Linked DNA regions of Schizosaccharomyces pombe. The gene in region 2 interacts genetically with the main gene of each other region. Each region holds a gene or a part of one and is shown on either strand. Other genes may lie near its edges. The genes, in order: jmj2 and SPOM_SPAC688.12C.

Evidence for each region.
Region 1: mutations in SPOM_SPAC688.12C (region 2) and jmj2 together harm fitness more than expected from each alone (negative genetic interaction), as found in Schizosaccharomyces pombe (one large-scale study listed by BioGRID).

Annotation. Positions count from the first base shown.
Region 1 is NC_003424.3:1,804,734-1,808,670, forward strand, and holds the start of jmj2 (histone demethylase Jmj2), read right to left. Parts: upstream 2,065-3,937; coding exon 1-2,064. Other genes in the region: bouquet formation protein Bqt2, read right to left, coding at 2,537-2,669, 2,750-2,909, 2,985-3,048; SPOM_SPAC1002.07C (N-acetyltransferase Ats1), read right to left, coding at 3,509-3,643, 3,695-3,805, 3,897-3,927.
Region 2 is NC_003424.3:3,138,134-3,141,187, forward strand, and holds SPOM_SPAC688.12C (uncharacterized protein), read right to left. Parts: upstream 1,192-3,054; 5' UTR 1,093-1,191; coding exon 589-1,092; 3' UTR 541-588; downstream 1-540. Other genes in the region: clathrin adaptor End4, read left to right, coding at 1-300; scn3 (TatD DNase family Scn1), read left to right, coding at 1,591-2,598.

The DNA.
Region 1 (3,937 bases), 1.3 Mb from region 2:
TTCGATGTGTAATGGACATACAGTAATCGACTTGCAAGAACAAGCAACTTGAGAGAAGTATGAAAATGCTTTGCAATGCTGGCATTGCCAATTTTCGGCATCCTCCATTAATTCACGATAAAGTATTTCCTTTAAATCATAGCGTCCTCGTATCATGATACGTATACCTAATTCACGTTTGACAGCCTCATGCACCCAAGGCCTTAGCTCAGACACACTTATCTCTGACGCCGGATTTGTCGCTAAATTGTAAACCAACATATCATGTGAAAGTACAGGAGGTTTAAGAAGTGACTGATATTTCAAAACGCCATTCAAAGAGAATCCGTTTAGTAACCAATCTTTGGGAGCAAAATTCACTGCCTCATTAATGTTAAACCCATGATTAATTCCTGCGTGAAAGCTTTTTGGAAAGGTAATCACGAATTCATTAGGCCCCTGGTCGATGAAATAAACATCGACACCTCTTTTTTGTAGCTCATCAGGGTTGATCATTGTAGCTAATTGGTAAAGCAGATCTTTTTGTTTTTTTACCAAATCAGGAGCAATATCAAGAGCGGCGCGTTCAAACCTCTCGGCTTGATCACCTGGAATTCCATACCATAATTTTGTGTCTCCATAATGTTGATAATTTACGGAATAAGTATAGTTATCCTCGACATGCCAACAAAAAGTTGAAAAACACATTCCAACGTACAGCCACGGACAGGTTATACCTGAAACAGGATTATCTATATAGCTTAATAGAGAACCATTTGTGGATGCTATAACATTTAAATTCCATGTGTCCTTAGAGTAAGGATTCACTGGATTTTTGGCTAAACTAGGGAAGGCGCTGCCCTGATCAAGGGTTGATAAATCTGCACCGTATTCCACTTCAAGGCTTGTATTATTGTCTTTTACGAGTTTCCAATACTCTTTTTCAACAATATCCTCAGTTATCTCCGAGTCTTTAAATTTAGAAAAATAATTTTTCTTAAAATTGTCACAGTATTTTTCAAAGTTCGATAAAGTATAATAATTCCCTGTTTCAAACCCAAACTCATATGGATTAATTATACATTTAGTACAATACGCTTCTTTACACGTATCTTCGACTTCACAATTGACAGGTTTGTGACAATTGTCACATAAGTGGTTGTTATTCGTTGACAGAGAGCTCAATCGTCGCTTTTTATTATGTGAGTGATTATCATTTGATCCAAAATTATCGGCTGGCATATATTGTTGTTTAATCTGCTCATTTCTCTTGGATTCTTGGTTTTGAAGAATTCCTACGGACTCATTAGTTTCGGGGTTAAATTGTTTAGATGTCTTCTGATCTTTAATACTAATATTAGAATGTTCGTCTTTTGTAAAAAATTTAGGGAAGAGATCAGTTTCAAAGCATTGATCCTCAGAGGTCTGATATTTTCTGACGAAATCCTCAAATGGAAAAATATACCTTAAATACAAGTCACTTGCTTCCTTTAATGATGCATTAGTAAAAGGAATTGAAAGTTCTCGTAAAATCCTTTTCCATACATGAACTTTTAATTCCTTCTCACTTAGAGATGCATGAGAATCAATACAACGCATTAAGCTGTATAAGTCGATAGACGTATTGGAAATAAAAAATGATTCCGGGAGCTCCATGCCCAGATTGCAAAAAAAACGGTAAACGCGTTCATCGTAAGAGACTATTTCACGAAATCGAAGATCCATCATATGCAAATCCTGCCGCCGAGTACGGAAGGAAAACTTGTTCATGTCAAGTTGCATCGGTGGATTCCAACCAGCAGGAGGAACGATTTTTATGATACCATATTTTTCACCGATTGGAGCTATCTTATTAATATAACCGATAGAGTCCTGAAATTCCTCTTTATCAGGATAAAAAACGGGAGCAACTGGAAGTCCATGAATGGATTTGGAACGCTGTTTTCTTTGTCCGGTATTTTTTGACATAGAGGATAAGTTATTTCCCCGCGTATTCATCCCATGAGGTGCAGGTTTTAGTTTATCTGTAGCATGAGTGTATTGTACAAAAGATGGGGAAGTTTGATGAAAAGTAGACTTGCTCATGTTTCCTATGCAAATAAGTAGATAAATTAGTCCGAATGGTGAGCGATTCCAGAAAAAAAAAGTTATTATAAAAAGAATTAAAAAATAGAGAATAAAAAAGAAACGAAACGTAAATGAGAAATAATAAATGGAAACAACAGTTTTTAAACTCGGACTTAGATGAAGTAAGTTTTTTATGTTTATGCAATGTATACTTGTTCAATTGTCCATTGAAAAGACGTAAGTGTCTTTATGGGATATAAATAAAGAAATTAGGTAAAATTCGAAAATAATCTTAGGCTAATAGCATAAATAGGCATTAAATTAATATTCGTAACGTATGGTTAAGTGAAGGTTGTGACAACTTCAGTTGACGATTTTGAGAGCTAAAGGAACGATCATTAAATTATAAAGGATAGAAAAAGGAAAGGTATTTTTCACAATTAGCATAGAATTTACAATCGGAACAACGCCATATCAGCACCAAAGCATTTCAAGGTAATTCACCGTTTAGAAAAGAAAGCGTGGATGGCAGAGGCTGTAGATACACTGAACGTATTCTGTGATCAACATATAAAGGTTCCATCACGTTCAAATGAATGACAGGTTCAGAAACGTAACTTTTGCTAATAATGGTGGTTAGTACTTGCCTTGGTAAATGATAAGATAAACTATCAATGCAATATTTAGTAAATTTAATAAATACCTTCTGGAAACAGCTACTTGCTCCGCAATCCACCAAGGAGAACGACATTGAACTGATTTGTAATTTGGCAAGCGGACGTGCTTTCTTAGATGCATTGAAAATGCATAATCAAAATTTTCATAACCTTCTGCTAAAAATTTCGCTTCTCCGTTGTGTAATTCTATCTTTAGTAAGAACAACTGAACCATAAATCATTCGACAACAAACAAGTGCACATCAAACCTTTAAAACTTACGCCATAAAGCAATTAATGCAGAAGGTACGGTTTCATCAAAAAAGGCGCACTTTCCTTGAAACATTGACAGGCAAACTGTTGTAGGTAGTTGGTTTGTTTACAATTGCGCGCGACGCGTTTCGAAAAAGAAACACAATAAAAGATATTCAAGAATACTAACCAATACTTTCTTTCTATTTTTTAATACACAATAAGAAGCCGATTTGATGAATTGAAAGGAAAACGATCAAATTAGTTTTATAGGAATTAACATTAGAACAATATACCAGTTCTAATAATTTACTTTGCAAAAAAAAGGATTCTTTATTTTTTAATTTTAAAAAATGTAAGATGTAAATTGATATCGTATTTTTTGGTAAACGGGAAATAACCTAAAGACATTGAAATGACCGCTTTAAAACGAAACTACAAGATCCAGGATCTTTCAATCATAAAAAATTAATTTTCCTCTTTCCAGTTCAAGGTTTCAAAGGTATAACATATCATGCTTCAATTTTTTAGAGCGTTAAGTATTGGGTATGAGTTTAAAAGTTGCCGGGAAGTTTATCAGCAAGAGCCTTTAGGTTCTCGCCGGTGACTCTCATCATACTCCATCCTCCAACTTTTTGTGCTCCAGCCTTTTCATAGACTTCAATGGCTCTCTGGTTCCAATCAAGGACCTAGGGTATTAGTCAAGGTATAAAAAAAGAAATGGGTTATAAACAACTTACAACCCAGTCAAGACGTCTGCCACCAATTCTAAGTGATTCTCGTGCTAAATAAGACAGTAAGTAGCTTCCATATCCTTTTCCACGGAATTGGGGTCGAACATATAAGTCCTCCTAAGAAATTGAATGGTTAAAATCTTGCTATGAAATCAAAAGTTAATCCTTCAATAAAAAGGTTATGAAGGACAATATGATAAGAACATACTAAATAAATCCCCACTCTGCTAGTCCACGTGCTATTCAACG
Region 2 (3,054 bases):
CAATTGGTTGCAGCCTCTCGTGTAAAAGCAAATTTCGCCTCTAAGGTTCAAGATCATCTTGAGGATGCTGCGAAAGCTGTTACGGAGGCCTGTAAGGCATTGGTTCGTCAAGTGGAGTCTGTTGCTCTCAAAGCTAAAGAGGTGCAGCATGAAGACTTCTCTTCATTGGGTGTTCATGAATATCGTCGTAAAGAAATTGAGCAACAGGTGCAAATTTTGAAGTTGGAAAATGATTTAGTCGCTGCCCGACGTCGTCTTTTTGATATGAGAAAAACATCTTATCATGTTGCCGAAGAGTAATTAAGTCTTTTCGATCCTTTTTATTTTTATGAATTAATTTTGGAAAGCCTTAAATACTCAGCTATTAGTGCTTCTATTTTTGCTAGGTCGATACGGGATGATAAATACATTGCGTTCTTTTCCGACCAATAGGCAGTATTAGTATATTTAAATTTTAAATGTAAATAAATACCATTACATATTGTGACACTTGTAGATCCTACTGATATACTAATGATCAAAGCAGAATGGCTAACCTACCGCACTATATCTCTTAAAGTAAAACAAACATAATCCAGATTTATTTTTCTACAACTTTTTCTTTTTCCTCCTCTCGGTTTTTTTCTCTTTCTTTTGCTCCTTCTTTTGTTCTTTCTTTTCTCGTTGTTCTTTTAAGCGCTGTTTTCTTTCAGCCAGTAGAGCCTCATCTTCAGGATTTGCGCAAGCAACTTCGAATAGTTTCCATGAAAGAATTAAACCTAGACCAGTCGCGCCAAAAACATAAAGATCTAAAGTAATCAATGTGGTCTGAACAAGTATGAATGTGATTATCATCTTAATGATGATCTCACGGCCTGACACATTGCTACGAACTTCTTTACGAATACCCAAAGGAAACCATCGAATTTTACCAGGGGGTCCAAATGAAATATGATAATTCCGTTTCGTGGGATTGTTAGAAGGACCCTTGGGCTTATAAATGTGAATTAAATTGATAAATGCTCCAATAAGGAAAATAGCTAGTCCAATTTTGTTATTCTTCGGATTCGAGAAAGTCTTTGTCAATTGATACGGAGATTCTTCTTCACTCATTGTAATTTATTTTCTATTATAGGAGATATAAAAGAAGAACCGTTCGTTCCAAATTAATTTGATCAAAGTATGGTGAATGAAACCGTCGGGGTGGAGGTTAGGAAAAATGTGGTACTACAGACAAAAAATAGAATAATTTGCCTCTCCCATAAACAGATATTCAAGATGTATTTTATCGTATGTTCTCAAATTACCTAGACGCTAACACTAATAAATAAATTTGAAAATATTATTGGTAAGGTGGTCACATGGAGGAACTAGTCAACGAAATAGGTATCTGCCCTTGAGCTTGCAGTAGACTAATTAAATTGAAGACGACTGTAATATTCAAGTTTTATCTTTATGTCATCAAGTAATTACCAAACAATGGGGAAACGAATGAAGTTGTTGAATTTCATTAGCATACACATGTTTTCGTCAACTCCAACGTTACTCTCCCTATCCCAACTATTTAAAGTACGGTGGGCAGAGAGCATTCTGTTAACTACAAATATCATTATGGAATCTATCATTGACGCTCATTGCCATCCAACTGATGCACCGCAAGAATTACATTTGGTTGCTAATCTTTCTGTTGGTAAATTAATAGTAATGGGAACCCGGCCGACAGATCAAAAGTATGTCGAACAACTTGCGAAAGAATACCCTGGTAAAGTAATACCTAGTTTTGGGATACATCCATGGTTTTCTTATTATTTGTACGATGATTTGGATAAAGATTTGCAAAGTAGTGAAACGAGAAAAAAGAAGCATTACGAAAAAATATTGACTCCAATACCTGATGAAGATTTTATCAATGCTCTTCCCAACCCAGTCCCGATTTCAGAATTTTTGGAGGACGCTCGTCGACATCTTAAACAGTACCCAAACGCTCTCATTGGCGAAATCGGCTTGGATAAGCCATTTCGATTGCCAGTTGGCCCATATGATGCAAGGTCCTCACTTCCTCAAGGACCTCTATCACCATTTTACGTAAAAATGGAACATCAATGTAAAGTGTTTGAAGCACAAGTGCGTCTTGCTGCAGAATTCCAACGTGCTGTTAGTGTTCACTGCGTTCAGACGTATGCTCTTTTGTATAGCAGTTTAGCTAAATTTTGGGATGGTCGCTGGATTCCTTCCAAAACGAAAATACGAAAGATGAAGAAAGAAGAGTACGAAAATTCTCTTGCTGAAGAACGAAAGCATTACCCTCCCAAAATTTGCCTTCATAGCTACTCTGGTAGCATTGAGCAAATTTCTCAGTTTTCAGCCCATAAAGTTCCGACCGAGTTTTACTACTCTTTTTCAATAGGTATAAATAGTCGTTATAAAAATTTTATTCAAACACTTAAAGGCGTTCCCGACGATAAGCTATTGGCAGAGAGTGATCATCACAGTGCTAGCCAAATCGATGAATTAGTTCGACAATCTTTGAACGTTATGTCAGAAGCTAAGTCCTGGACTTTTGAGGATACTATTACAAAAATTTCAAGTAACTCTAAAGCATTTTTGAAAGTAACTTGAACGCATGCACTACGGTTTATTGACAAATTAGAGTTACCTGCACAATCACCTTAAATAAGTGCATAAGAGATTACTGGCTATTCCCATTGGAATTGGTAACCTTTAGGTTCGTTTTTTATCTGTTTCGTTTACTAAATCCCGAAACTTGACTGAACTAGTGTGGAAATGCTTGCGTTTGCATACAACTTTATTTATAATGTCCTTTTTCATGAACTTTTTTCTTATATTGTCCACCTAATGTCTCTATCTTAAAAATTTCTAACACTTTGCTGAACATGTTTAGCAAAATTCTTTTGTTTATTTATTACTTAGGATAAAATATTTTTTAAAAAAATTTTTGTGATTCCCGTTACTAAAGTATTCTACTAAAACCATCTTGAATTTCCACTTTTTATGAAAGGAATATGCACGTACAGCAAATTCTTAGACTTTTTTGCTCTTTTAGTGATCGTAAGC